7 linked regions of the Macaca mulatta genome follow. The protein of the gene in region 7 purifies or fractionates together with the protein of the main gene of each other region. This does not show direct contact. Links are inferred from orthologs where the notes say so. Each region holds a gene or a part of one and is shown on either strand. Other genes may lie near its edges. The genes, in order: RAB31, RAB7A, RAB24, RAB6B, RAB6A, RAB14 and GDI1.

Region 1 (4,119 bases), on a different chromosome or scaffold from region 7:
GGATGCATGGGACAGTGGCCCCATGACACTACCACTACAGGTAGCAGCTGGATGGCCCTGCATTTTCTCCCACTGGGATAGAGAGGCTGTAAGTTAATTCACAGTTGGAAGTGAGATGAATAGATTATGTTAGCTGGGGCACATTGAAAATTGCACATATAAGAATCAGCTGAGCACAAATCAGAACGCTCATCAAGAAGAATGCTGTACCTGTGCATAAAAGGTGAATTCCACCCCGAAACACAGCGTATCCTTGAGTGCTGGTAGCCACATCTATATGTCACAGATAAGTTTTGTCTGGCCAGGCTACACTTTTCTAGGAGCTATCCCTCTTCAAGACCACCTGCCTTCCCATTCTCATAGTAATGTTGGGAAATACCATCTCGTACTACCAATCCCCTCCTGGCCACACACGCCTGTTCTTAACGTGGGGAGTTCCTCCCTGGCATTTTAGACTGGAAATGAAGACAATGCCAGGCCAGCATCTCTCCAGAGACTAACTCTGGAACATGTCAAATGCCAGAGCTGAGGGCAGTTCTGTTTTTACCATGTGGATAACAGTACCTTCCAATAATTCCCCTTTCTCCTGAATTTCAATTGTGTTTTGGATCCACGTAACCAAGAATCCTAACTGATACTATGCAAGTTTAAATCGTTCTCTGCTTAAATTCTAGTCCATCAGCATTCCCACGATACACAAAACTTGGTTCCACTCAAAGGTGCACATTAGTCCCATAATTAGGGGGTTTTAGAGATAGCACCTTCTCTCAGCAAAGGTTGTCTCTACACACCCACCTCATCCTTCCCATGACCAAGGTTAAGGTGATTCTGCTGGGAACACTAGACAAGCAAGCTGTTTGAGGTTTACAGTAAAGGAGGTGGATATCTGAACTAAGTCTGGGAAGTCTGAAGATCTGTCCAAATCCCAGAAAAATAAACGATTAAGTGGTGTTTATGGCTGTTATTATAAACCAACCAGATGCAAGGTGATACAAACTTTTGAAATCCCAAAGAAACAGAACAATTTGTTAAATGCTATGTTAAGAGCTTTTGCAAGATCCATTTCCATCGACTATTTATTTCGCTTTGGTTTAATCACATTTTGATCAGCAAAACCAGAAGCATGATGTAGTTGTCTTTATAAAAATCAGCTACTAGAATTCCTGAGAATTAAATTAACCGAGAGAATGGAGATACCACAAATTCACTATTTCCTTTTTTAAACAATGTATTTATTTAGTAAAATAGCTAGCTTACCAGGCTAGGCAAAGCTATCATCAAATCTCTAATTCATGTGTACTGGATCCCCACAACCTCCTTTCAGATACGGGAAGTTCAATAACCCAGTACCACTGGGGGAAGTCAAGGTACTCACATACAATGTGTCATATTCTGATTTAAGAACAAAATAGTGAGATTACGTACTTGACTATATTCTTAAGGTAAAATCTAGAACTAAAACAAACAGGTATGCCATGAAAAATTTTAAGAATTCTAATGGTCATTACGATAGGGATGACCATTACCATAGTGTTACTAAAATTGTGCTAGTAGTCATAATGATAATAAAAATGGAAAAAGTAACAACAGAAATAATAAAACCGTTTAGCCCAGAGATATGTAGAGTCAGGGATGTAACTGTGTTATGTACAGGAATTATAATTTTAACATTTATCATTGTATGGTACACCAGAATTGCATTTCCCTATCATTTTCCCTTATTTCTTCTCTGGTTGAATCAATGACACATTGACTACCACAAGTGAAAGGCCATTAACTATTACACTGAGGGCAGACATAACAAAGGCATGATACCTTTGTACACTCAGGGATGACATTCAGGGATGGAGGATAATATCTACACAAAAGATATTAAAATGCGTCTTACCTAATATCTGAGAGGTCGCACTTGTTTCCAGCGATGGCCATTACAATGTTTTCCGGACCATGTTCTTTCAGCTCCTTGACCCATTTCTTCAAGGTATAAAATGAATCCTAAACCAACAGTATACACAAATCATTAGAAAAACCCCTCAATATAATATTTCAACCAAGCAGAAATACAAGCCCAGTACAATTTAATGGAGAAAAATATTTTTAGGAGACTCATGCAGATTAACATACTACCTCTGTCTAGGCACAAAAGTTAATGTTAGCTGAAATACACTTTAATAGACCATGTAAAGTTTTCTAAAATTAAAACTTGATCTAGTTAAGAAAATCGTATCAGTGATTCTTCTCCTATAAATAATGTTAATTTAAAATGATTGCCTGGACTCCGCATGAATAAGAATAACAGGACTAAGTAAATGCTCATGCTTACACCAAGAAAGAATCATATATCTCTAGAGTCCTGTCTTCCTGTTGGCCCTTCACTCACAATTGTCCTCTAGAAAACAGGTCAAAGGCAACACACCACATTTAGGTAGAAGTGGTCAGGAACTCGTGGAAGGTAACAGTGATGGGTCATTAAACTGATGGTCTTATGTGCTGAGTCAACACTCCAGAGAAAAAAAGCAAATAATTCAATTTGCAGGAGTGGGAAAAAATGTCATCAAACTACTGCAGTTATTTGTTGATGGAAGTCTAAAACCTTCAACATTATAACTAAAAATATATTATATGTACACAAACACACAAAGATTTACTTACACGCACACAAATGTTATGCTTGGCATTTTAAGTAAGTGGTATGATTGAAACACTAACAAAAATAAGTATTCTGTAATTATAAAGCATGCAGAAATTAAAAACGATTTTCCTTTTCTTTAAAAGCTGACATTCTGCAGAATAGTACTAGCAGGCATGACTTTGCCTCTACAGTCAATTTTAAGAATGAATGGTCATTGTTGTTTAATTTAGCAGATAAATATGGGATGCTTTGTTACATATACACGAAATAAACTCAATATATAGTGGCACGCTACTGGGAAGACGCAAGCAGTGACGTCTTTGCTTCAGTCTCTCTAAGAGAGAGAACCACCATAAATGACATCTAAATTCTGAAGGAGACAGTCTTACCTGCTTGGTAATATCATACACGATAACAGCTGCAGCTGAGCCTCGATAGTACATGGGAGCCAATGAATGAAACTGTTTAAGAACAATGAACAGTTTTAGGCCAAAGTGAACAGACTTTATTCAATCCCAAATTAAACATAAAAGTTTTATCCTACATCATCCCTATAGGATCCCTAAATTCCTCCCCCATCTAATTTTTCCAGGGTTCATGTTATTCTTTATTTTATTTTATTTTTTTGAGATGGAGTTTCACTCTTGTCACTCAGACTAGAGTGCAATGGCATAATCTTGGCTCACTGCAACCTCCACCTCCTGGGTTCAAGCGATTCTTGTGCCTTGACCTCCGGAGTAGCCAGGATTACAGGCATGCGCCACCACATCTGGATCATTTTTCTATTTTTATTAGAGACAGAGTTTCACCATGCTGGCCAGGCTGGTCTCAAACTCCTGACCTCAGGTGATCCACCTGCCTCGGCCTCCCAAAGTGCTGGTATTACAGGTTTAAGCCACTATGCCTAGCCCCAGGGTTCATATTAAATAAGACATTTTCCTCCTCATCAACACATATATATACTTGTGGCTTACTGACCATGAAATCTACTCTTGGGTAAAAGCCAAAAACAAATTTTATTTTAAATGTTACCATCTTGTGAATGTTCTTTTCTCTGCTGCTCATCATTTCTCCAATATGACTGACCGACCCAGGGCAATCTCATTAGAATTATGCAGCAGTAAAGGAAAGAAGTATGGCAAGGAGAGGGAAAGGGAACACTGGCAAAGATCACAGGACCCTTGCTGAGCCGTTAATGAAGACCAATCAGCAAGGGCAGCTTTGGCAGCAGCTGCCTCGGGTCTGGAGGGCTGCCACCTCTCCAACGTGGGGCTTCCTCACCTACCTAAGGTCCACAAATGACAAGACAGCAGAGGAGCTCCATTCCAAAATGTTAACAAAGCAAGTGCCGCTGGTCACTAGCATCGTTCATCCCCAGACAGGGGAGCTCATTAGTCTCAGAATGCATGCACTTCATATGTATTTTGGAGAAGGGTCCAGTCTTAATCTGCATTTTTTTTTAAATTAAAAAGTATCCTGGAGGGGCC
Region 2 (4,119 bases), on a different chromosome or scaffold from region 7:
GAGAATGACAAAACTGAATTCCCTCCTTCAAAGTGCAGAAAGGGAACTGAAGTTGAGATAGCCAAGACAATGGCGTAAAGTCACAGCCAGCTGGGAGCAGGATGGGGACTTAACCCAGGTCACCTGGGTCCCAGTCCTTAAAGGCAGTTGGCCTGAAGGGCTGGCATAGGGTGATGAAGACTCCCACCAGCACCTCCTAGAGCCATGTGAGCTTAGCAGAGAACCCTCCAAATTCACAAGGCCCCTTGGGAGCAAGTGTCTGTGACAATATCTATCATCGTTGGTACTTACTTGTCTGTTTTCGAGGTCAATCTTGTTTCCCAACACAACAAAGGGGAAGTTTTCAGGATCTCGGGGACTGGCCTGGATGAGAAACTCATCTCTCCAGCTATCTAGGGTTTTGAATGTGTTGGGGGCAGTCACATCAAATACCAGAACACAGCAGTCTGCACCTCTGTAGAAGGCCACACCAAGAGACTGGAACCGTTCCTGTCCTGCTGTGTCCCATATCTGTGAGAGACAAAACATTTATTCCTCGGGAGAGTGCTAGGCAGAGCACAAGGAGCATGTATGCAGGGGATGCCAGAAGAAATGGGCTAGATTGTGAGGTCACCCACAAAGACAAATGACACCAGACTTCAGGAAGCAAATTTCAGCACCAGAGTATCCGAAACAATCCTCACAAATATTGTATGTAAGTATGTGTCTGTCTATAAGCAGGTGACACGAGTCCAATCTCCAGGGCGCTAGAAATTTCTTATATCTTGATCCAAGTAGTGGTCACATTTAGGTAAGTGTGTAAAATTTGAACTGTAAATAAAACTTAGGTACTCTGGGAACTTTCTGAGAGCAATGGAAATACAGGGAAGTGAGGTGATGACTCACAAATGATACAGTTCCATTTATGCATTTTACTGTATGAAAAGTTTGCCTAGCCAGGCACAGTGGCTAACCTGAGGTCAGGAGTTTGAGACCAGCCTGACCAACATGGAGAAACCCTGTCTCAACTAAAAATACAAAATTAGTCAGGCGTGGTGGTGCATGCCTGTAATCCCAGCTACTTGGGAGGCTGAGGCAGGAGAATCTCTCGAACCCAGGAGGCGAAGGTTGTGGTGAGCCGAGATCGTGCCACTACCCTCTAGCCTGAGGGACAAGAGCGAAACTCTGTCTCAAAAAAAGAGAGAAAAGTTAGCCTAAACAACAAAAAAGATTAGCATGTTATATTTCATTTGTATTATACCTCAATTAAAAAACAAATGAAAAACTCTTGACAGAAAGAGATCAAGAGAAAGACAATGAGAACACACACCAGATTAACTCCCAGGTACTACTGACCAGCTCTAAGCTGGTCACATCATTCACTGCCATGCTAGGTTTAAGAGCAAGGCTGGGTATATTTACTGCCCTAGATCCGTAACAGGCACTCAAACAGAGCCAGACAAACATGATAACTCAGATATAAGAATGAAGGGCAAAAAAGACAAATTTATCTCTCATGATTCCACTGCCTCTCAGCAGGTTAGGGCACTAAATGTTCCCTTCCCCAGATACAATAAACGAAGTCCACACATGTAGACTAAACAGGATCAGGGCTGCTGGTGGTACTCATTTATGTGCTCTCCTGGTTCTCCAATGTTCTACACTGAATATGTATGCATCTCTGTCAGTGGAGAAATGACCCCATTCTCAAACAAACAAACAAACAAACAAATATACGAACACTTGGCATCCTCCCACACAGGAAGGAGTTCATGTCTTGTTCTAGTTATTTGTGTGGAGAGGTTTTCTCCACACAAATAACTGACTGGAGACTGCACATGTGACACTCTCCACATTCTCCCACGTTCCTCCCCTTTACCCCGTCACGCACTAGGGCACTCTGGCAACAGCAGATGGGGTGACGTGGGAGAGCAGGTTCACTGGACTTTACAGCTGCCCAACAGATTTAGTGAACCATCCATTCCTGTTTTTAAGAAAATATTGTTGCCAATCTCCTGTAATTATAAACAACTCAGCAATGAACATTAGCATAGAGAGCTTTTTCTGTATTTCAAACGGCTTTTTTTCAGGAAGACTCCTACAAGCAGAATTACATAAGAACTCTGTTATTGTTAGGTGGAACCAATTCATCATCTGGAACTCATATACACAGAGAAGGCAAAGTAATACTTTCAAAAAGAAAAGTCAACAAGTTGATGGGTTCCTAGAAAGTTACCAAAATTAATTTAATTTTGAATTTACAAAAGTAAAGGCCATATTTATCAAAACATCAACAAGTACAGTCCTATGGCTGGCTGTGATCTTTAAATTTTTTAATATTTTAATTGAAATTGTTAACAGTGACCTAGGTTCTTGGAATCTTCCATGACAGAAATCAAGAGAGATCATCAGACACAATAGCAAAGAGAAAGTGAAAGTTTATTTAGCTTGTGCATAGTGAGCTAGCACTGCAAAAGGAAAGGGGCAGCTGTTCTCTGAAAGCAGTGTGGGAGTTAACTTTAAAGGGCCTTCCTATGGGGAGGGGTGATGTCAGGGTATGTATATAGGAGGGGTTTCTCTACCGCATGCACAGTGGCTAAACATGCTTCTTCAGAAATTGCGTGTAGCACTAGCAGGTTAAATCTCCACCCTGGGTGTGATTTTTAGCATTAAAATGAGGAAAAGGTAACTATAAGTTGAAGTCTAACTGCACATGCTGGGGGCCCCAGGGAGGTCCCTAGCCCCATGAAGCAGGAACTTATGATAACAGTTTCTTGGGATTTTTTTGCTGCTGATTGTCTGGAAGTTAGGTAAGCTACAGCTTGAGTAAGGGGCTTTTGTTCTTTTTCTCTAGACTACATCAAAACAGGAAACCAGCCAACCTGCTTGTCTCAAAATGGTTTGTTTTCTCCATTTAAAATTATACCCTTATAACTATCTACCCAATACTCTGATGTTACCAAAATTAACACTGTTATTTTAATCCATTTTTTCCAAGAATTAACCCTTCCCCCATTGCATTTTCTTCCTACTTTACCACAAGCAAATGCTCCTGAAGAGATACCTTACATAAATAGTATCATTCTGTACAGCTTTTTGCAACTTGTCTTTTTTCACTCCCAAAAGTTAACAGTTATATAATATTTCATTGCCTTAACGGACTACACTTAGTTTCCTAGATCATTTGAGTTACTTGCAGTTTTTCACTACTATCCATGCAATGCTGCAATGGTAACTCTCGTTACACCTCAGACGTCATGCCCAGACGTAAGTTTCTCTAGGCCATACACTCAGACTGTTGCTGCATAAGTGTATGTTCAACACTGGGGAACAGAGTGGCAGTTTCTACTGAAAAGGCTGTACTCATTACTACACTCCTACCATCAACCTGAGGCTGTTCAACTCCCTATATTCTAGCATCCACCAGGTTGCCTACTGCTTGGATATTATTAGGCATTAACATCTTTTTCACCTGCTTGTATGGTTTGTTTTTGTTAGTCTGGGAATCTTGTTATACAGATGTTTAATGTAATCTATTATCAATCTTCAACATTTTATGATTTGTACTTTTTTTCTTTTCTTTTTTTTTTTTTGAGACGGAGTCTTACTCTGTCGCCCAGGCTGGAGTGCAGTGGCGCGGTCTCGGCTCACTGCAAGCTCCGCCTCCCGGGTTTACGCCATTCTCCTGCCTCAGCCTCCCGAGTAGCTGGGACTACAGGCGCCCGCTACCTCGCCCGGCTAGTTTTTTGTATTTTTTAGTAGAGACGGGGTTTCACCGTGTTAGCCAGGATGGTCTTGATCTCCTGACCTCGTGATCCGCCCGTCTCGGCCTCCCAAAGTGCTGGGATTACAGGCTTGAGCCACCGCGCCCGGCCTCTTTTTTTTTTTTTTTTTTGAGACGGAGTCTCGCTCTGTCACCCAGGCTGGAGTGCAGTGGCAGGATCTCGGCTCACTGCAAGTTCCGCCTCCCGGGTTTACGCCATTCTCCTGCCTCAGCCTCCCGAGTAGCTGGGACTACAGGCGCCCGCCACCTCGCCCGGCTAGTTTTTTGTATTTTTTAGTAGAGACGGGGTTTCACCATGTTAGCCAGGATGGTCTCGATCTCCTGACCTCGTGATCTGCCCGTCTCGGCCTCCCAAA
Region 3 (4,780 bases), on a different chromosome or scaffold from region 7:
GTTATACAGTCTTCCAAGGCAGTTGTTGGCCACTGCGGAGGACTCAGCCCAGGCCTAAATAAAGGCAGGAAAGCAGAGGCAGAGGATAAACTGTAAGGCAAAGCCCCTGGCCTGCGGCCACACCCTCCATACCGGAAAGGGCTGCAATAAATTTCCTTATGGTTGAATAGCAAGTGTCAGCCCTGTTTACAATAACACCTGATTCCTCAGAAATATCTGGATCTTCAAGGCTTAAGACTGGGGAAAACTTGGAGCTTGCTTCCCTTTGTGACCTAGTCCTGAACTTCCTGCCCTTTCAGCAAAAAGTGCTTGGGAAGATTGGGAAAAACATTTAGTACTAGAATTACTCTTCACTTCACAATGCTTGGGCTGCACAGGAGTCACCTTATTTTACAGATGAGAAACTCAAGGTGAGAGTTTAAGTCTAAATTAGCAGCTGAATTGGAACCAAATCTGGATCCATTAGACCTTTCTGGCTTACAGAACTTAGAACTTTCCTACATTAAACCACACTGTAGGACGTCACTGGGAAGTTCAGAACCTGAGTCACAGGTCTGACATAGGGTCCCAAACATGACAGATGCAGTAGAGCCAGTCAGACCAACCTGTCTGAAGTAGGAATGCTTGACCCTTTTATTTTGAAGCAGCTCATGCACTCTTTTCAGCACTCAGAAGGAATTGTGAGCTTTGTACTACCCCAGCCCCAGTATCTCAGTAACCCTGGGGAGAAAAGTCTTGTTTTCCAAAGGAAAATGAGAGTTGGGAGGAGCCTTAACATAAGCAGTGAGGCCAGCCAGGTGGCCCCAGAAAGAACTAGGTGTCTTGACACCCAATCCACACAGCAGGGAAAGGGGCTGGGTGTGATTCACAGTGCATTCATTTTATTTACAGATCAGAAGCCACTTAAATAATCTGCAGACACAAGTGCTGTCCAGGGCAGAAGCCTGGGGTCCAAATCAGCCCTTATCCCTCCTCATGCCCACAGTCAGCCCAATGCTGTCTCCGTTCCATGGGCCAGCACAGGCAGGCGCCACCTCTGCTGACATGAGGACCTGGGGTAGCTCAGACATTTGACTACCCAAGCCCAGAAAGGAGCTGGGTCCAGCCCTTCTGGGGAATTCCTTTAATTCCCCCAGGCCAGGTGAGTGCTGACTCAGTGATGACAACAGCTGTAGAAGTAGGGGTTTGGCTTCTGGCCCAGATCCACGCCCTTGTCCTCTGTCAAAGAGAGAGGTGGCAGCTCAGCACCATTCTGTTGGGATCAGGTAACTCAGGAAAGGGGCAAGAGGCTGTGGGCCTAGAGTAAGTCTCCATAAAGGCTGGGGAAGCACACACCTGTCATCACCTGGAAGGCAGCCACACTGACGTAATCCTCTGCCACTTTCTGGAAGAGCTCGTCTGGCAGGAAAAATGATGATCAGTGAGGGCCCAATGCCAGTAGCCCTGGGATCTCCCAGTGACCCAGCCCTCTGTGCCCTATTCAGCTTCCTCTGGTGCTCCTGTGTGTTCCTGCTGTGAGGCCCCAGCACAGCACTCACCCACACTCTGGCCTGTCTTGCTGGATGTTTCAAAGAGCTGAGCTTTGATATCTGTAAAGAGAAGTGACTAAAGCCTCATACCTGAGAATTAGATAAACAGACAAAAGGGAGGGCTAGCAGTTCAGGCAGTCTCCTGGACCCCACAGTTCAAGGAGGCCAGGAAGACCTCCTAGAGCACCTTGCCCTGGCAGCCAAGGCAGTCCCTATTTTCTGTGATCCACCCAGACAGCCAAACACTCCCACCCCCCCCAAAGGGCTGAGGAGCAGCTACTGTCTGCATAGTCCTGGACGTCATGGAAGTCCACACGTCGACGCCTCCGGTCTTCTTCCAGCAGGTCACTCTTGGTGCCACAAAGGTAGATTTGGCAGCCCTGAGACAGAAGACAAGGGTCACCCCCACAGACCAACAGAACCCCAGCCCCTAGTCTTCTAGTGAGGTCTGTTCACCTACCTCCTCTAGGCTGCGCAGTTCCTTCACCCAGAACTTTGCTCGCTCAAAGCTGCTGCTGTCTGTGAGGTCTTGGTGTGCGGCATGCAGGAGACACAACCAACTGGTCAAGGGCTGTTCTCTGGCTAGCCTGGCACCCATCTCTTCTTGTGGGACAGGCCAGAACCCCCCCGCCCTTACCATAGCAAACGATGGCAGCCTTGGCACCCCGATAGTAGATTCTACTCATGGCCTCATAGCGCTCAGAGCCTGCTGTGTCCTAAAGAGTAAGGCTTGAGTCAAACTTAAGGCCATGTTCTCCAGAACCCGCAATTTCAGATAAGGAAACTGGTCTATGAGGCCACAAATCAACCAGTAATAGGAAGGACCTACACCTCCTCAGGAATGAGTCTCCCAAGAATAGATGCCCAGGGGACTTACCCAAATACCTAATGTCACAGTCCGGTCTCCGACCGACATCACCTTGGCCACGAAGGCGGCCCCGATGGTCTGCAACGAGAGGGAAGAGATCCGAGCCATAGGTGCAGATTACCGCCCCCCCCACCCCTCCGCCCACCGTGCCTGGCCCCTCCGGATGCACTTACGTTCTGATAGGGCCCCACCAGAAAGCGGTCGTGCACGTAGCGCTCCACCAGGCTTGTCTTGCCCACGTACTCCTTGCCCAGCATCACCACCTTGACGTCCACGCGCTGCCCGCTCATGCTCCTGGGGCCGCTTCAGCCACGTCAGGGTCCTGAGCGGGGACGGGAGGCAAACCCCGATCTCCGCTCGGCCCAGGCAGCGCCCAAGCCTCCGACCCCGACCCCAAACGGCGCCAACCTACGACTCGAGACAGCGCGTCGAGCTCGAGCTCTGGCCGTGGCCTTGCACTTCGGCAGCGCCCCGTGTGCCCCCGCTGTTCGGCTCCGGGCGCCGATTATCTTTCGAAGACCCCAAACCCCGGGGCGGCCTGGAAGCGCGCGGGACAGCGTCCTCAACAGCGCAGCACGCCGCCGTGCAGCTCGCTACTCCGTCATTCGCTCGCCTGCCCGGCTTAAGCTCCGTTCTGGCTGGGAATCCCAACCGAACCCGGGGTCTCCTGCAACCCGGCTCCTATCCGCAGCGCCGCGACTCCCGCGGGAGGGGGCGAGAGGGCGAGGGGGCGGGGCCGCAAGGTCACGTGGCGCGGGCGCCGGAAGCGGTTGCTACAGTGTGACTGCGCCGGAAGTAGCGCGCGGCCGGACAACTTATGGCGGCGGCGGCAGCAGCTGCTTGGGCGCGGTGCGGTGGTGATTGAGCTACGAGCCTGGCGGCGGGTGTGCGCCGAGCCCCGGCCCGGCCCGGCCCCCGCGTGCCTCCCAGGCTCCGCACCCCTGATGCTGCGCGGGTGCTGAGCCCGCTCCGGCCGGGACGATGGTGAAGTATTTCCTGGGCCAGAGCGTGCTCCGGAGTTCCTGGGACCAAGTATTCGCCGCCTTCTGGCAGCGGTACCCGAATCCCTATAGGTACGTGGTATTTGGAAGAGCAAAACTTCGCCATCTCGCTATTTGGAGATCGAAGTATGGGTAATCCCCAAGTAATGGGACCAGGAAGGACTCGACATCGAATCCTACGTAGACCTTATTGGGGAAGCGGCCAGGCCAGGCCTGCAAGGTCCTGAAGGGAGGTTGGGCCTGGGCGGTGGTTTGCTTGAGACTTTAGTATAAGATTCTTTTCTCAGTGTGGTGAGACAAGAAGAGGCGGCAGTATGGGAGTTGGGAGGGATCTTGGGATTGGAAATCCTGTTCCTCTTCCCATGGCGCTTTCCTGGGGTGTAATAAATCATGAGGTCCATTGCTGCTAGAAGGCAGGAATCCAGGTCAGTCAGATGGCGGGAGTTGGAATTTGCCCTGGGATGGGCCCTTGACTCTGGTCTGAACCATAGCACTTACCACCCTGCAAGGTTACAGGAAGGCGTGGCCTCTCTAGGCCCGGAGACTCCAAATGGGAATCCCCTCGGGCAGTCTCTTAGGGGCAGGCTCCTGAGGGTCACCTTCACCCTGACACCTGCAGCAAACATGTCTTGACGGAAGACATAGTACACCGGGAGGTGACCCCTGACCAGAAATTGCTGTCCCGGCGACTCCTGACCAAGACCAACAGGATGCCCCGCTGGGCCGAGCGACTGTTTCCTGCCAATGTTGCTCACTCGGTGTACATCCTGGAGGACTCTATTGTGGACCCACAGAATCAGACCATGACCACCTTCACCTGGAACATCAACCACGCCCGGCTGATGGTGAGACGCCTCCTGCTGTGATTCTGCACCTCCCCTTCTCCCCTCCCAGCCAGATAGCTCCTCAGATACATGTGGCTAGAGAGCCATAAGGGAGCTTTTGTGGTCTGAGGCAGGTCTGGGTTACTGAGGGTTGACAGCTGTAGAGTATGACCTCAGATTTTCTTCTTTTCAGCTGGTCATCCTCTCTGGACCTGTCTTTTGACTCATTCATACAGTAGGGGAGGGTACCTATCTTATTTCGTTGTCGCTCCCATCGGGTACAGGGCACAGATATGTGTTGGACTCACGGGAGTGATGCTGAGTGGGGGAGGGAGTGCTTTTCTTTGTTTCTTTTTTTTTTTCTGTTTTTTGTTTTTTTTTCTGGTGACAGAGTCTCACTCTGTCGCCCAGGTTGGAGTGCAGTGGCGTCATCTCACCTCAGTGCCACCGCCACCTCCCAGGCTCAAGCAATTCTCGTGCCTTAGCCTCTTGAGGAGCTGGGTTTACAGGCGCACACCACCACACCTGGCTAATTTTTGTATTTTTAGTACAGACGAG
Region 4 (4,823 bases), on a different chromosome or scaffold from region 7:
CAGGAAATAAGATAAAGCCACATCCCTCTAGCTCCTTCCCCTGGCCCATCTCCAGGGGACTCGGCTCATATCGGCAAGCCCATGTTGCTCTGAAAGATTCTGCTGAGCTCAGCGGGCCCAAGTCCCCCATGTACAGAAGGTAAAGGAACTCTGAGGTCATATAAAAAGAGCCAGGGCCAGCATGAGGGCCAGCCCTCAGGAGGCTCTCTCCACTGCACAGGCTGCAGAGAATGCTGGCACAAATGACCAACAGATGCAAAACTGTGCAGGCAAGGTAGAAGAAGCGGCTGGGGAGGTGACTCCCCATCCCATAAGGCTTAGAGACGCACATGTCCCCTACCTAACTCAAAAGCTCTGTAAAACCTAAAACAACCCACTAACGATGCAACAAAGTGGAAACAGGAAACAGGCTATTCGGGGCCTTGGAACTCCCTGACAGAAGGCACCAGGTGAGATGCCAGTAGCCATCTCACTGACAGCAGTGATTCTCTAATGACCATGTTCCAAGGGCCCACAACCCTGCTCCTGACCAACTACTCAGCATTCCTATCAGTCACAGGCCCCAGCTATAAGCCTGGCCGTACAGAAGCAACCCAACTCCCTCTTGGGGAGGCTCCCCAGTTGTTGGCTTCCCCAATTCAAGGTCATCTTACTTCACAATGACACGCTAGTGAAAAATATTGGACTGGAAACGAGAGGTGAGGCTCCAGCCCAGAAGTATTAGCAACTCACAATGGGACTCTGGGACTCTGGGCAAGGCCTCCCTGTTCCCTGGGGCTCAGACTTCCCATTTGAACATGTGGGAGAGGTGGTGGGTTCATTTCTTAGACTTCAGCTATCATTTCTGTGCTTCTGGGAGCAAAGGGGGTCTGTGGAGCCCAGCAGGGGTCTCTGTTCATCAGGAATTCTGAGGGAGCCTAGAATGTTCCCTCAAATTCACCAGAGACACTTTATTCACCAAACTCCTAGTCCTTTCTAAAGCTTTTGCAGACTTAGAATAATCAAATGTTTGTTGAGAACCTACCAGGGTCCAGGCACTTTGAGAGGCACTAAGGAAACATGAAGAAGTAAAAGAATTGTCTTCAAGCAACCATTTTTCAGAGACAGAAAGTGAGTCACAGAGAGGCCTCAAATTTTACTAAAGGCAACACAGCTAAGAATTCAACTCCCAGGCTGCCTGATCCCCACAGGTTATCTCCCAGGGCTCCAGGCCCGGTGAGACTAGCACTGGGATGTGAATACCACCAAAATCCCTTCCAGACACAGGGAATGGTCAGCTCCATGAAACTGGGATCTACTAAAACAGGCAATCAGAATCCAAGGCAAATGCTGGCTGGCTGAGAGGATCTTCTGAAACACCCAACCTGGCCCCCAAACCCATCTCCATATTGGGCCTGGACACTACCTTCTAACGTCCTTCTCTGAATCATCCATCTCAGGCAATGAGCATCAGCAGACAGGGGCCAGTCACATGACCTCCATAACCCTCATGTACACACAGCACAGCAGCACTGTTCATGGCCCACCCAATCCTCCCACAGTTGCCTTTCTTTTGGACCCCCTTGTCAGAGAGGGTCTGCAGAGCCAGAGCTGGGGTCCTGCCCGACAAGGACAGCCTTCTGGGGTCCTGCTCGGCAAGGACAGCCTTCTCCCAGAGCAGAGCTGACCAGAGCTCAGTTTGTCTCCCTGCAGCCCCATTCGAGAGGCCTCTGGAAGGATGCTCCGAAAGCCACTCCTTCCTACAGGTGGCAGAGGGGTCCCTGCTCTTCAATCTGGGCTTCCCGCCTCGGGACCAAGCTGGTTTTCAGAGATGTTTTCCTGGGGAGGGAGCCAGGCAGCAGAGAAGCAGTCTCCCCCTCCCCCAGCTCTGGCCGGCTGCCACGGTGACCTCCCCTCCCCCAAGAAGGGCGGTGAGCTGGGAGGTGGGGGTGGGAAGAATCCACCGATGCTCTCAGGAGGAGTGCTGGGAAGCAAGGCAGGGCGTGTCGCCTGGGCCTTTCTCTGCCCAGAGCGAGACTTCACAGCCTCTCGGTGTGAGCTGCCCCTGTATCATTCCCCAAATCGCCTCGAGTTGGGGTAGCCTTCACTGTCATTGCCAAGACCCCTGAACAGCAAGGAGGCTACCGAGCGCTGGCGAAGGGCACCGGGTCTAGAACCTTCTGTGCCCAGTCGGACGTGAGATAGGGGAGGTAGGCGCCCCGTTCCCTCATGGCCTGCACTCGCTCTTTGGAACAGAGACAGGTGCCGGTCTTTTCTCCCCGGTGGCTATTTGTCCCAGCGCCTGGACGTGCCCTTTCGCATGGTTACCGGCAGAGTCCGCAGGGAACCCCCCTCCAGTGCAGCGGAGTGGGGGTCGGCCAGACCCCAGTTTCGCTTCGTTCTCCAAGGGGGGCGCCCGTCGCTCTCCCCACCCCCGGCAGCACCCAGCCACCTGCGCGGTCGCCCGCAGCCGGTGCCGCAGTGTGAGCTAGCCAGCGAGCCCGGGTCCTTCACGCCCTGGTCCGCGCGGCGGAGCCAGCCGCCGCCCTCCGAGCTCCCTGCGGCGCCGCACCTGCACCCGCACCCCGGGCCCCCCACCCAGAGCCCACCCTCACCTCCACCCCGGGCGCCAGCACCTCCTCCGTCCTCACCCTTGACCCCTCCCCAGTCCGACCCCGCCCGAGCCGGCCCCGACCTCCCCATCCCTGTCCCTCTCCTCTATCCTGACACGGAGAGGCCTTTCCGAGCCGCGGCCGGTGGTCCCAATGGGGTGGGCGCTTGGGCGACGGGGGTCGACTCGGCGACAAGCCAAGAGATTAAGCCGGGTACTTACCGCTCTGCTCCCCTAGGAACACCAACTTGAATTTTCTCAGTGGATTCCCAAAATCTCCCCCTGCGGACATGGTGGTGGCAGCCGGGGCCGGGAGAGGAGGAGGAAAAAGCGAAGGAGCAGGGAGGGGAGAGGAGGAGGGCGAGGGGAGGCGGCCGGCGGTGCGGGAGCCGGAGGGGGAAGGGCTGGCTGTGCGCGTCCCTGACTCCCCAGCTGCGTCCCGGCCCCGGCCTGCGGCTGCGTGTCCGGCGGCGGCGGAGGAGGAGGAGAGGGAGGAGTAGGCGGAGGAAGGCTGGGGCTGGGCTGCTGCGGGCGGCACTGGCTGCGGTGCGAGGGGCGCGCTCTTTACGCCCGAGGCGCGGCGTTGGGAGAGAGGCGCGGGCGGAGCGGGGCGCAGGGACGGCGCGCAGGGACGGCGCGCGGGGCGGAGGAGCGCTCTCTAGAGCCGCGCCAGTCGGCCCCCTCCCGCCTCCCTCCTCTGCCGGCGCCTGCGCTCTGCGCTCTCCCCAGCCTCTGATGTCATGCGGGGCCCGCGGCGCTGCGGGGCTGGGGGGCGTGCGCCCGCCCACCCGAGCCCGCACCCGGGCAGGAGAGAACCTCCTCGCTGTACCCCTGAGAGGCCCCCGGGTCGGACCGTCTCTCACTGCCCCGCTGCGTCTTTCTCACTCTACCCCTCTTTCGAATCCAGAAAATGACACGAAATTGTCAGGGGACTTTTGTTTCTGGTCTTTTAAACCTAGATGCCAGTCCCTTCCTCCACCTCGCGAGACACCGATGCACAGCGCAGTCGTCCGACAGGGCGGAAAGGAACGAAGGTGGGGGAGAGCCAGGGTGTGGCGAGGCGCTTCAGGGCGGGCAGACCTAGGGAAACCTGGCGTACTTGGCGCAGATGGAGCTCGACTCTTGCCCCGTGTGGCTTCTAGCCCGCCCTCCCCTCTTGAGGCCTAGACCGTTTATTTGGGCGGCCTCTTGTGGGGTCTGTGGGTGCCCCCGCAGACCTGGCCAGCGAGAGAAGAGCTGCCAATATAGGGCGCGCCTACCTCAAACCAGCTGTTCATTTGGATCATTTTATGCTAAATCATAACCTGCCCCATGGGAGAGAAGGAACGGTGACACTCTGAATGCCAGTGCCACTATCTCCAGGACAGTGCAGTGCCCTGCGTTTCTTGATCCTGGGGTCGCCAGGCTGACAACGCCACTCCCCACCCTGGCAATTACGTGTATCTGGACAATGAGCTCTCTGAGGACACGTGGGTGACCTCTCCTTGGCCTCTACTCGCCTGGTCCATCAAGGCACGCAGACCAAGCTGTGAGTGGGTAAGAGCAAAGAGCAGAAGCCAAGCGCTAGAAACACTCCCAGGACAGCCCGAGCCTAAGGCATGCTGGTTAATTGAGGTTTGACAAAGCTGCCCCTTACTCTTCTGCCACAGCGCGGTCTTGTTCGTTTATGGCTGTTCAGTGAGCATTTATTTGAGATAATAGTCTGCATGTTGGTGAACACGATGGTGTGTGCACGCATGTGTTATACAAAGAGAAAGAGGAGTGAGACACAACCTTCATCTCCAGATTTCTCGGACACTTGTTACCCACTTTTTGACTGATGGGGCTTGCTTGGGCAAGCCTGTCTGTCTCCCTGGTGTGCTCACCTCGAATCTCTCTTCTATTTCTTGTTAAAAACTTGCCCGCAAGTTCCATAAAAGCAGTCGTCCTGAGGACATAGCTCAGAGTTTAAGAAATAGTTGTTGAATGTTCCAATGAACATCTAGAACTCAAATCAAAATAACTCCTATTCTCATAATCACCTTTAGTTTGGAACGTCAAGGGTTGTAAGTCATCACCTAGAATATCTGCCCCATTGTGGCTGGCACCAGGCTCAGGGTAACCCTCCAGACGCCCACCCACTTCTTTGGGACTCCTGCTCTCTTAGGAGACCATATCCAGCTTAGGGCTGAAGAAAGCTCTAGAAGGAGAGGAGACTCCCAAGTCACAGCCTGTTCTGTCTCTGTAAGTGATC
Region 5 (4,119 bases), on a different chromosome or scaffold from region 7:
TTTTTTAAAAATCTAAAAAGAAAGTCCCAGATACTGGGCTGGGCACAATGGTTCATGCCTGTAATCCTAGCACTTTGGTTTTTGTTGTTGTTGTTGCTGAGATGGAGTTTTGCTCTTGTTGCCCAGGCTGGAGTGCAATGGCACGATCTCAGCTCACTGCAACCTCTGACTTCCAGGTTCAAGAGATTTTCCTGCCCCCGTCTCTCAAGTTGCTGCGATTACAGGCATGCGCCACCACATCTGGCTATTTTTGCATTTTCAGTAGAGATGGAGTTCCATCATGTTGGTCAGGCTGGTCTCAAACTCCTGACCTCAGGTGATCCACCTGCCTTGGCCGCCCAAAATGTGAGGATTTCCAGCGTAAGCCACTGTGCCTGGCCTAATCCTAGCACTTTGGAAGGCTGAGGCAGGAGGATCACTTGAGCCCAGGAGTTCAAGACTCTGGTTTTCCTATAAATTATGAACCACTATATGGAATAATGTTTAATATTGCCTAATATATGTCATAAACCAATTTACAAAGGCAATTTCAATCAGAAAGCATTTTACTGTCAGTCACCAATGCTTCATGGAAAATTTACAGTCACTTAAAAGGCCACAGGCATTATTCAATCTTTAGAAAAAAGAAAGACTACTGGTTGTTTCACCTCCTATTTAAAATTTTTTTCTTGGAGAGAAATGAAAGTGTAATTTGTTAGCAACAAAGTAAATAAATCAGTCACAGAACCAAAATATGATTCAAATAAAAAAGATTAATAGAAAACTATACATTATGTTTTCTCTGTCTTCCTCTACAGAGACAGAATGGCTGGAAGGGGAAAGCAGAGAAAAGCTGGCTAGCAGAAGCTTGTAATAGCCTCAATAGAAAGCTTGGAGAATTTGGAAAACTTGGCAAGAGACTTAAACACAGATTATTTTATTTTAGAGAAATCTGAGATCAAATTAAATTAAAAGGAGACATTCCTCCAACTATAATTATGGTATGGTTTAGGAATAACAGGATACTAAGAAACCCTTGAAAAGGATTCACAATTGGACCCAAAAGAAAATTTCTGGGGCAAAAAACCTGGCACAGTTAGATATAAAGCATACTGGTATAAACACCAAAGCAAATATTTCTGACCTGGCTGATATGTGATTTACTACGATAAAACTTATTTTTACATGCCAGTAAGGAAAACAAGCACAAGACAAGAACATGCATGCAGCTAAGCTAAAGGTTGAAAGAAGATTAGAAATGCATAATTCCCTCCACTCACTTGTGATATCATAAACAACAACTGCCACAGTGGAGTCACGAATGTAGCTAGGAATCAAGCTCCTGAACCGCTCTTGACCTGCTGTGTCCCATAACTGCAATCGTACCTAACAACAAAATCAGTCAAACAAGCAAGAAAAGTAAGAAAGGTCAACCCGTTGCAATATACCTACTTGTGATATCGTAAACTACTACAGCTGCAGCAGAATCACGGATGTAACTGGGAATGAGGCTACGGAAACGTTCCTGACCCGCAGTATCCCACAGCTGAAGCCTGATCTGTGAGATGGGAAAAAATAAATAAAAAAAAAAAAACAAACGAAACTAATACTAAAAAGAAAAAAAAATGTTTTTTTAAAAGGGAGAGGGTGGGAAGGAAGTAGAAAGAAGACTCATGCAAGAGGTTGCAGGGAGTGAGGAATGAAAATAATACAAAACTCCTTTTTCAAAAGGGAGAAATATTAAAATTTTGCGTACTCCGAAGGTAAATGACTGGAAAATGCCACTGGGAAAGGTTTCACAGAATCAGAAATATGGCTTCCCTTTTTCCCTACCTAAAACCTATTTTAATCCCTATGCCTTCCAGGGTCAAAAAGTAGACTGTTGATGGTTAAACAGAGAAAAAAAAAAAAAAAAAAAAAAACTAAGGTAAATGTCAATGAAAGGAACAGCCTAAGCTATCAGAGTAAAGGAATTAATGCTTCTTTGAAAGCTTCTCTTAAGCTAAAACGTGTCTCTTTCCTATTGGGTCTAGAATACTTTAAAACTGGGTCTTTAACTACTGTGCTTGTATTTGTCCCATACATTTCTCCCCAGAACACATGTGTGTGTGTGTAATGTAACAAAAAGGAGGAAGACCTTTTTGCAGCCCTACATAAAAATTTATCTACTATCTCATATCTATATTACAGGCGCGAGCGTGTGTGTGTGTAATGTAACAAAAAGGAGGGCCAGGCACAGTGGCTCACGCCTGTAATCCCAGCACTTTGGGAGGCCGAGGCAGGTGGATCACAAGGTCAAGAGATCGAGACCATCCTGGCCAACATGGTGAAACCCTGTCTCTATTAAAAATATAAAAATGAGCTGGGCGTGGTGGCGGGCACCTGTAGTCCCAGCTACCTGGGAGGCTGAGGCAGGAGAATGGCTTGAACCCGGGAGGCGGAGCTTGCAGTGAGCCGAGATCACAACATTGCACTCCAGCCTGGGCAACAGAGCGAGACGCCATCTCAGAAAAACAAAAAAAAAGGAGGAATACCTTTTTGCAGACCTACATAAAAATTTATTTACGTACTATCTCCTATCTATATTACAAGAAGAAAAGCCTGAAAACAAGCATCAAGTTCTTGCATCATGACAGAAAGTTGTTTCCAAGCTTTCAATTTTTTTTTTTTTTTTTGAGACAGAATCTCATTCTTGTTGCTCAGGCCGGAGTGCAGTGCTGTGAACTCGGCTCACTGCAACCTCTGCCTCCCGGGTTCAAATGATTCTCCTGCCTCAGCCTCCCGAGTAGCTAGGACTGTAGACACCCACCACCACGCCCGGCTAATTTTTGTACTTTTAGAAGAGATGGGGTTTCACCACGTTGGCCAGGCTAGTCTTAAACTCCTGACCTCAGGTGATTCGCCCACCTCGGCCTCCCAAAGTGCTGGGATTACAGGCGTGAGCCACCGCACCCGGCTGCTTACAAATTTTAAGAAATGACATGCTATATATTAAACCATAAAAGAGAATATTCAGGAAAAAAAAAAACACATAAGAAATAACACTGGAAATAAAATAATGTTTTTGGGTGCAGGTCTCAAAATACTGCATGTAAGATATTCACTATTTAGGTGACAAGAATCTCTTCAAGGGGTAGTGGGCTAGAATACAGATTTTACACTGTATTTAAAGAAAACATTCCAAAGGACGAAAGACAAGAAATCCAACAAATAAATACACATTACTTTTTTTTTTTTTTTTTTTGCAACGGAGTTTCACTCTTGCTGCCCAGGCTACAGTGCAATAGCACAATCTCGGCTCACTGCAACCTCCGCCTCCTGGGTTCAAGTGATTCTCCTGCCTCAGCCTCCCGAGTAGCTGGGATTATAGGCGCCTGCCACCACGCCTGGCTAATTTTTTGTATTTTTAACCGAGACGGGGTTTCATCATGTTGGCCAAGCTGGTCTCAAACTCCTGACCTCAGGTGATCCACCTGCTCCAGCCTCCCAAAGTGCTTGGATTACAGGTGTGAGCCACTGCACCCAGCTCACATTATTTCTTTTTAGTCAGTCACTTTGACATGCATCCTGTCCTGACAAAAAAATACTGAAGTTCACAAATTGAAATCTTATTGAATGCCTCAAGAGTGGTATTTAGAAGGTCTTTAGCAGCTTTAATTTCTTCATAAAAATTCTCCTTTAATTCTCTGTAAAGTTCTTTGTTTTCATTTTTCCAAATCAAGATAACTGCCAAGTACTACTCACTCAGTAATAAGAGTTTTTCTCAACAACTGTAAACTCTCTTTGGTAACTCTGCTAAGTACTTCTTATGGCGACAATCATTGATTATTTTGATCGCAGTTTTCTAACCTGGAATGTTGCAGAAAATTGCACACTGAAAATATTACTCACTGTTCGATCCTCCAAGTACATAGTTTTTGATAAAAAGTCAATGCCAATTGTTGCCTGTAAAACAAAACAAAGAAGTTAACAAATAATAACCGTTTAATGGTGGCCAGCAGTTTAGGATTCAAATGGGATTCATTAATTGTGGAAGAAATAATGAATAAACAAACCAATACAACATAGCCAATTAAGGACAAACAAAACTTCCAGTGATAACAGTTTCCACGTATTCAGCACTTGCTTAATATTAGAGAC
Region 6 (4,802 bases), on a different chromosome or scaffold from region 7:
CGACTGCGCTTGCGCATACGCGCTTTCCACCTTCCCTCCGGGCGTGAGCGCCCGCGGGGCGGGCCTCAGCGGCGGCGCGACGAGTCCAGAGGTGAGGGCTGAGGAAGGGGCGTGGCTAACGGGTTGGCCTCGGCCACCCTCTTCCGGGCTCCGCCAGCTGCGCGCGCATCTTCTCCCCCTTCTTTTGTGGTCCGGCCCATTGCGAGGGTGACAGGAAACCCTGTGCAGGGAGCGCCGCCATCTTGGACCAGCCCGAGGAAGATCCTGAGGGAGCCGCAGGAGCAGTCACCGCTGCCACCGGTACTGCCGCTACTGCCGCCGGCGCGTCTGCACCTCTCGGCCTGCCCGCGTACTTGCCGGGGCCTCGGCCGACCGCCCCCGCCCCCTCTCCCGCTGCGTTCGCACTCCTGTTCCTCGTCCTGACGCCCCCCTCCCGCCCGGAAAGCTGCCCAGCCACCAGCAACCCCCCAGGTAACCCGGGCCTTCCGCAGTGTCCGGCCGGCTGATGCCTCCTCGCGCCGGGCTCTTCAGAGGGGCGGGTGTGGCGACGGCGGAGACAGGGCTGCAGGCGGGCGGCGCCCCAGGGGCCAGGCCCCGTCAGGCCGCGGCGATCCCGGGGGTCGGCGGTGAGCGCCGCGGCGCCGGCCTGACAGGACTCCCGGGCGGGGGCGGAGGTGTCCCCTGCGTGGCTCCTGCCTGAGCCTCCTGCCCACCCCGCCCCGCGGGGCGCTCCGAGGCGTGCAGGGAAGGGTGTGTTCCGGCCTCGCCTTCCGCGCGTTCTCGGCTCGGCTGGGCAGGACCGCATCTCTCGCAGGCCCCCCTCTCGCCGCTGTTCTCCGCGGCCGCAGCCCGCCCCCGCAGGGTGTACCCACGCGTGCCGCGCCGCCCTGCAGCCCTCGAGCCCCAGACGTGGCGGTCCCGTCCCGTAGGCCGCGTCTGGCTCTGAGTACAAAGGCAGCTCTTCGCAGCCTCCTCGGCATCTCGGGGCAACTCCGGTGCCCTTGTCGATGTGGGGAGTCTGGCCCTGCAGCCGGGCCAGGGACGGGGTCTGTGCGCCTGTGCTTGCGATGTCCTGGTTTTGGTGCGTTCCTATGAGACGCGTGGACAGCCTCTATGGCCCTGAAGCTACAGAGCATCTAGAAACAATGAAGAGAAAGTTGTGGCATTTCTAGAATCTAAGAGAAGACGACAGAACTGGAGTGTTTTAAGCGTTTTAACTGTGGGCCAGGTACATACTTAGGTGTCTTTGTACGTGTTTATCTTGTCCCGTGTAGCCCTCGGAGGTAAGTTGTCTCCACTTTATAAGTGAGGAAACTGAGGCCTACAGTTGTGATGTGTGTCTGGCTGATGATGGTATATTACAAACTGGCTTCGGCTCACACTGTGGCTGGTGGTTTTTGTACTACACTCAAAAATTAGGCTACGGTTACAGGCATGACCATTTATAATGTAGTTATAATTCCTTTTTCACTGTGTTCGCATTGGATGACAGCTGATTACCCCTTTATGACCTAAAGTCCATAAAGTCAGCCACTACACTGGCAAATCCTCATGCTCGCAAACCCCAAAGGAGAGATGCCAGGATTTCAATTTCGTGTATGAAGAAACGGGTTCCGAGAGGACAGGTGCCTTCCTGGTGACCCCACAGCAAGTGTCAGAGCCCAGATTTGAACTCTTGCAAAGTTTACTGCTCATTTCGTTACTATCCCAACTGCCTTTAAAAAATTCGTATATTTTTCTAAGGTAAATATTGTAGAGGAACCAGCTGTCTTTTATTTAGATTTGATTGTTGAGGATAAATTTGACCTTGCAGTAATCCAGCTCCCACCCCTTTATTCCCCACAAGCCTTTCCAAATTTTTTCTTCCAAGTTCTGTTTAGGCAGTTTTACTTGATCATGCCTAGAGGTATGTCGTGGTTAAGAGTTTTGGAGTCATACTGTCAAGGGTTCCCCCTCCATTACTGCCACTTCCTAGTTAAGTGATCTTAAGCAAGTTACTTAACCTTTCGGACTCAGTGTCCTTATCTATAAAGGGGATAATTGAACCTGCATCTTAGAGTTGTTGCTAGGATTAAATGGGGTTTAAAGAAAGCCCTTAGCACGTTGCTTGGCATATAGTAAATCAGTGCCTGTAACAGTGCTAGGCACATAGTGGGTGTTTAATATCTTTTGAATGAATGAGAGAGGAGCATAACTTTGGAGAGCTACATGTAGAGTTAAACCTGGACCTTAATTCTAGCTCTCCATTTAGTAGTACTATGACCACGGGTAGATCACTTTGGTTTCCTTATTTGTAAAATGAGTTTTTAGGATTAGAGTTTGTTTATAAAGTAGCTGGCATGTGTTAGGCCCTCGATAAATGGCAGTTATTGTAAAGACGTAAAACCTTAGATTATAATAGCTATTTAAAAATTCCTTGAAATTAAAGCTACATTTTAAAAAGTTGTTGCTTTTTTGTATTACAGTTAAACTTTATCATTGTTGCATACTTCAACTTTGCAACAGAATTTGGAGTGTTCATTTTTATCAATGTCAAATATCTTTGCATAGTCACAGTAAGATACTGTGCTAGTGGAGGAAACTTGATTAAGGTAAATAAAATGTTAAAACTCGGGCTATTGAGAGATGTTTCATGTTTTTTTAAAAAAGGCTTGAAACATTTTTATGTGGTTAAAAATGCTAGGCATGGCTAAAGACAGCAGTTTACAAATAGAAGCATTAGAGGTACTGTACTTTTAAGAAGCTTCATCTAGACAATTTTAAATATATACAAAATAAAGTAGCATACTGAGCATTCATATACCTATCAGCCAGTGTCAACAGTGATCAGTCTTGCTTCATCTATATACACTTGCCTCCTCCCTGCCAAATTATTTTGAAGCAAATCTCAGACACAGTATCATTAGTAAAATTTTCACTATTAATCCTTTTAACTTTAGCAATAAGTGCAGGGTTTTTTTTTTTTTTGCTTTTTGGGTGTTAAGTGCTTTCTTTCTGTGAACAGAGGTCCAGTATTAGAATACTTTATTTTCTGTATATAGAAGATCATCAAAGTTACTTCTCTTGCCACATTAAGCAATCCAGCTTTTTAAAATCATTATTTATATAAAAGTGACATTAAGTATATTGTCAAAAGTTAGATTTATTTTTTTTAAGTGGGTGGGCTGTTTGTACTATTGTTGAGGAAATTGACCACTCGTTTTTATTAGGTTAGATTATTAGATTAACTACAGAAGTTTTATCCACGTGACTGACAAATCAGGTAGTAGTAGTCCATTTTAGTGGGCCTTTAGAGCAAGTCAGAATGCTTCTGTTCTTGAGTTCCACGAAGGCAGAGACAGTGTTGTCTTTTTTGATCATTGCTATCTTGCCAAAGCCTGGCACAGTGCTTTGTGCTTAGTAGATACTTAACAGATACGTTCATGTTGGAATCACAGAAGCAGTCCATCTCAGCTCTGGTATTTTTAACAAAACATCATGCATGTTAAACAAACAAATAAACAAAACTTATCAATGGAAATAAGGATAAGAATTAAATCACCTGGAATATTTAGTGGGTTGCTTTTCCCTTGTTATGTCTTGGATCAACTATGTAAAAGTTATACAGTAACATCGTTGGTTCTAAGGAGTAGAATAGCTATATAACAGGTTTTAAAATCAGAGCAAACAATAAGTAGTTCAGCTATTTAAAAAAAAAAACCAAAAATATGCCCTCTACTATTGAGTGTTGGTTTTTTTTGTTTTGAGGCCAATCGTATTATTGGCTTCATAAGTTCCCCTTATTATCAGTAAATGTGGAAATAATGTTGGGAATGTTATGAGTGGGAGTTTTGTTTGTTTTTGTTTGGGTATTCTTTAACCTGTATTAAAATTACATAGAAAGTGCTTTTCACGTATTTATTGGTAGAGAAAATTTTATTTTTAATTCATTGTAATAAGTCAGTGCAGGGATCTATAAAGAAAAGTTAATACTTTCTCTCTTCCCTTTTTCTCCTGTCCGTGTATTTTTCACAATTTGATTTGTATTTCATCGTATATGAATATAGGGTTGAGTGTGTGTGTGTGTTTGAAAGTGGGGTATGCTATCGCATAAAACTCTGCAACGTGTTTTTTCACTTAGCAAAATCATGGAGGTATTTCCAGGTTAATGCATATCGATCAAAATGGTTTCTAAACTAGATGGATATTATTTTGTAGTACAGATGTACTTTATTCAGTCATTTCCTTGCTGATAGATTATTTCCAGTTTTTTGCTGTAAAAATGGTACATTAAATGCGCTAATACCTGTAGCCTTATGGACTGAAGCTTTTGTATATGTAGGATACTTCTAAGTGGATATCTGAGCCAAAGGATGATTTGGATTATTGTTAAGATTTTTAAATATACTGATTACTTTCCAAAATGTTGGCACATTTCCACAAGCAGTATGTTTGGTAGTGTATACCTTCACATCTGTACCTACATGTTTCAAAACTAGTCGTTTATATGTCTGTGTAATCTTAGAAAGGTGTCGATTCAGTAAATAGAAACCATGCATTCTATTTTTGTCACAACAATAATTAGTGTTTAATATGTGTTCAGTAACCATTTAGATCTAAATGTACTGACATGAAAATGTGTCTGATTTTGTTGAGTGAAAAAAATATGCAGAATTTTACAAGATGGCATACCCCATTTTAAAATACATTTTTCACCTTAACAGTGGTGAAAATGGTGGTAAAAAATGGTATGTTTTCACGTGGTGAAATGATATGTTTCCACAATGGCGAAAACTGGTAGTTGCATGTTCAGGAGATGAGGT
Region 7 (2,804 bases):
TTCCAGGGCCGGAGCGTGGCGCGAGGCAGCCAGGGGACCTGGGCAGCGCGCATGCTCCGAGGCTCCCAGCTCGCACCTCCGCGATGCGCTGCTTCATCTGCTCCATCTGCTCGCGCTGCTTCTCCCGCTTCTTCATCAGGTGCATGGCGCGGCCGGCCTCGCTCGCGGCGCCCTTGTATTGAGCCATGGTAGCGGCGGCGGCGGCGACAGCGACAGCAGCCCAGCCGGGTCTCAGCTGCAGCAGCAGCGGCGGCGGCAGCAGAACAGTCAGCTGACGCCCGCGCCGTGACGTCAGCCACCAGGAGACGCACGGATACCCCGCCCCTCCGCGCGCCAGCTGGCCCGGAGCGGAACCGCCGCCCGCCCCGCCCCACCCCGCCCCACCCCGCCGGAGACCGCCCCTTACCCTGCATGGACTCCCATCCCAGCCCCCACCGCCGGCTCCTGTGGACCCCGGAGGCTGAATCCCCCAGCCCCTCGCGCTGCCTCGACGTTAACCCGAGCCAAGGCTGGGCCCCTGGTCCCTCTAATTCCTCCTGTTGACCCCAAGGCTGGTCCCCGTGCTGCCTCCCTGCCTGAGGCCAGGCCCTGGTCCCCCGCATTAAGCCGAAAACTGGCACCCCTGTCCCCCTGCTTCACCCCATCCAAGGCTGGCCCCGGGTCCCCTCTGCCCTCTCAAGCCAGAGGCCAAGACCCCCGCTCCCTCTGCTTTCTCCACGTTGACACCCGCCCCCCACCGCACTCCCCCTGCATTGAGCACTGAGGGCTGCAGTCCTGGTGCCAGCATTAACTCACTGGTAGCCTTAAGCTTTAAGTCAGTTTGGCCCCAGCGTGCTCTGGGTGAGGAATTCCCTGACGACTGCCACCTTTTACAGTCCAGAGTGAAGCTAAGCCAGAGCCCCAACCCAGGCAGCCAAAGCCCTGCCAGGTACCCAGCTTTTGGGAGATAACCGTAAAGATCCAGAGGTTCAGGTTTCAACCGTTTTATTGGGAGGTTTTGTTTTCTGTGAAATACACTAGAGGGTGGGGAAGGGGACACATTCACTTTGCAAGATAAGGGTTTCCCACCACTAAAGGAAAGGTACGGGCAGGGCACACTGGGGTTTGGGTCCATTTTCCCACCTCCTTCTGCTTTGCTCACATTTTTCTCTCAGCAAGTACCACAGAACACAAACACAAAGACAAGAAACAAAACAGCAAATCAACCTCCAACGGGGCCACGCCCAAGCCTTCCCCACTGCCCCAGGCTGGGCAAGGGCTGGGAGGGGCTGGGGCAGCTCACTCTACAGCCCCCAGGCCACACGGGAAGGCTGCAGGCTCAGAAAGGGTGGGTCGAAGTTAATAAATTAGAATAAATTAGGGGGGAGGAATGCAACTTTGTGCTGGGAGGGCCCCTTCTCTCCAACACGCCAAGAGTTGGTGGGGGGAGGTGGGGGCATCTCCAAAGGCCACTACAGTGGGGGTAAGAGCGGTGGGGGCAGAAGTCACCTTTTCCTCCCCGTCTTCCCGAACAGAGCAGAAGAATTAGGGGTGGGGGGAAGAGACACACACAAGGAGAGGAACCCTCTTTTCCTAGGATAAGGAAGGGCCAAGAAAGAGGATGCTATCCAACCCCCCATCTCCCAAACCATCGCTAGGGTTAAGGATTTGGTCAGTGGATCAATGAGGTGGGTGATGGGAACGTGGTGGGGGAAGCAGAGGATGCTGGAGCCCTCTAGGAGAACAGACACAGGCTGGGGCAGCAGGGGCTGGGGGCGGCCACAATCACTGCTCAGCTTCTCCAAAGACGTCGTTCTGTTTACGCTTCATGTTCTCAAAGTCAAAGGCCATGCCAGCCATGCGTTTGTAGATGTCTTTGATGTCGTTGCAGGTTGTCTCAAAGTGTGTGGTGGCATCATAGGAGCAGGAACAGAATACCTGGAAACAGCCAAAGCCCAGCGCCCAGGGTGAGTCAGGCAGGTGCCCTGGGGGGGCGGCCAGGAGCCAGGGCTGGGACAAACTGCTTACCTGGCTCTCACAACCATCATCAATGGGCTCATACAAGTCACTGATAGCCACAAACCTGAGGGGCAGACAGAGGGGAGGGGACAGGCCTCACAACGGGCCATGCCCTTCCTGGTCCCTAAGCCCAGCTCCTGGGCTCCCTCCCTCTCCCTCTCGGGCTCGGCCCAGCCCCTCACTTCTGGTCAATGGGCTCCAACAGCTCCAGAGCCGGCTCCACCTCCTTTTCAGGGTCCGTGGTCTCCACAGTAGTGCTGGCGATGGCGATGTATTTGCCCTGGGCCGCCACGTTGTGTGCATAGGAGATCATGCACACGTAGATGTCTGGCCACAGGAAGAGCTCCGTCAACTCGGGCCAGAGGCGCTGGCCATACGCAGAGATGGGTTCCAGTGGCTGGACACAAGTCTGGCCCACCTGCCCCCTCCCCAGCCCCGCAAAGCAGGTAGCATCCAAGCCGCCACCCTCCCAGAGGGGAAGAGTCCAGGCCACCCAAACCCTAGGGGTCCAAGTTGTGGTGACTACAACGTGGGTCAAATTTTTTCCAGAGAGGTAAGGCAGGGAGCTCCGACACTGATGGGGAGAGAAAGGGTAACCCCAAAGAGAACACCCTAGAGGAAGTTGTACCAGCACCCGGCCTACCTGACTTCCTGTTGACCTGGTTCTGGGGGATGATTATTTGGCAGGAGTTGGCATCGTTGGTGTTCTTGATGGGGTGGCTAAGGATACAGATAATGCGGATAACCTGGCCAGCCTTCCGCACACGGTCCGGGATGTAGCTGGGGTCACAGATCAGCTGCTTGCA

The links.
Region 1: the proteins of GDI1 (region 7) and RAB31 purify together in Homo sapiens (co-immunoprecipitation; 3 studies listed by BioGRID and IntAct, counting the BioPlex papers as one, with this or other methods). This does not show direct contact. The link is inferred for Macaca mulatta from reciprocal best matches to the Homo sapiens genes GDI1 and RAB31.
Region 2: the proteins of GDI1 (region 7) and RAB7A purify together in Homo sapiens (affinity purification with mass spectrometry; 4 studies listed by BioGRID and IntAct, counting the BioPlex papers as one, with this or other methods). This does not show direct contact. The link is inferred for Macaca mulatta from reciprocal best matches to the Homo sapiens genes GDI1 and RAB7A.
Region 3: the proteins of GDI1 (region 7) and RAB24 purify together in Homo sapiens (affinity purification with mass spectrometry; 3 studies listed by BioGRID and IntAct, counting the BioPlex papers as one, with this or other methods). This does not show direct contact. The link is inferred for Macaca mulatta from reciprocal best matches to the Homo sapiens genes GDI1 and RAB24.
Region 4: the proteins of GDI1 (region 7) and RAB6B purify together in Homo sapiens (co-immunoprecipitation; 3 studies listed by BioGRID and IntAct, counting the BioPlex papers as one, with this or other methods). This does not show direct contact. The link is inferred for Macaca mulatta from reciprocal best matches to the Homo sapiens genes GDI1 and RAB6B.
Region 5: the proteins of GDI1 (region 7) and RAB6A purify together in Homo sapiens (affinity purification with mass spectrometry; 3 studies listed by BioGRID and IntAct, counting the BioPlex papers as one, with this or other methods). This does not show direct contact. The link is inferred for Macaca mulatta from reciprocal best matches to the Homo sapiens genes GDI1 and RAB6A.
Region 6: the proteins of GDI1 (region 7) and RAB14 purify together in Homo sapiens (affinity purification with mass spectrometry; 3 studies listed by BioGRID and IntAct, counting the BioPlex papers as one, with this or other methods). This does not show direct contact. The link is inferred for Macaca mulatta from reciprocal best matches to the Homo sapiens genes GDI1 and RAB14.

Annotation. Positions count from the first base shown.
Region 1 is NC_133423.1:80,776,996-80,781,114, reverse strand, and holds part of RAB31 (ras-related protein Rab-31), read right to left. Parts: intron 3,094-4,119; coding exon 3,022-3,093; intron 1,996-3,021; coding exon 1,889-1,995; intron 1-1,888. UniProt on the Homo sapiens protein: The small GTPases Rab are key regulators of intracellular membrane trafficking, from the formation of transport vesicles to their fusion with membranes.
Region 2 is NC_133407.1:155,150,840-155,154,958, forward strand, and holds part of RAB7A (ras-related protein Rab-7a), read right to left. Parts: intron 511-4,119; coding exon 292-510; intron 1-291.
Region 3 is NC_133411.1:186,277,991-186,282,770, forward strand, and holds RAB24 (ras-related protein Rab-24), read right to left. Parts: upstream 3,119-4,780; 5' UTR 2,810-3,118; exon of another isoform or gene 2,806-2,809; intron 2,720-2,805; 5' UTR 2,688-2,719; coding exon 2,571-2,687; intron 2,476-2,570; coding exon 2,407-2,475; intron 2,246-2,406; coding exon 2,167-2,245; intron 2,058-2,166; coding exon 1,990-2,057; intron 1,910-1,989; coding exon 1,810-1,909; intron 1,590-1,809; coding exon 1,539-1,589; intron 1,399-1,538; coding exon 1,336-1,398; intron 1,219-1,335; coding exon 1,154-1,218; 3' UTR 860-1,153; downstream 1-859. Other genes in the region: PRELID1 (PRELI domain-containing protein 1, mitochondrial), read left to right, coding at 3,379-3,470, 4,018-4,243.
Region 4 is NC_133407.1:36,936,484-36,941,306, forward strand, and holds the start of RAB6B (ras-related protein Rab-6B), read right to left. Parts: upstream 3,065-4,823; 5' UTR 2,883-3,064; coding exon 2,813-2,882; intron 1-2,812. UniProt on the Homo sapiens protein: The small GTPases Rab are key regulators of intracellular membrane trafficking, from the formation of transport vesicles to their fusion with membranes. Rabs cycle between active GTP-bound and inactive GDP-bound states.
Region 5 is NC_133419.1:74,102,304-74,106,422, forward strand, and holds part of RAB6A (ras-related protein Rab-6A), read right to left. Parts: intron 3,925-4,119; coding exon 3,871-3,924; intron 1,538-3,870; coding exon 1,432-1,537; intron 1,366-1,431; coding exon of another isoform or gene 1,260-1,365; intron 1-1,259. UniProt on the Homo sapiens protein: The small GTPases Rab are key regulators of intracellular membrane trafficking, from the formation of transport vesicles to their fusion with membranes.
Region 6 is NC_133420.1:36,999,584-37,004,385, forward strand, and holds the start of RAB14 (ras-related protein Rab-14), read left to right. Parts: upstream 1-1,557; 5' UTR 1,558-1,743; intron 1,744-4,802.
Region 7 is NC_133426.1:160,625,452-160,628,255, reverse strand, and holds the end of GDI1 (rab GDP dissociation inhibitor alpha), read right to left. Parts: coding exon 2,642-2,804; intron 2,326-2,641; coding exon 2,181-2,325; intron 2,063-2,180; coding exon 2,008-2,062; intron 1,918-2,007; coding exon 1,765-1,917; 3' UTR 968-1,764; downstream 1-967. Other genes in the region: protein FAM50A, read right to left, coding at 77-187. UniProt on the Homo sapiens protein: Regulates the GDP/GTP exchange reaction of most Rab proteins by inhibiting the dissociation of GDP from them, and the subsequent binding of GTP to them. Promotes the dissociation of GDP-bound Rab proteins from the membrane and inhibits their activation.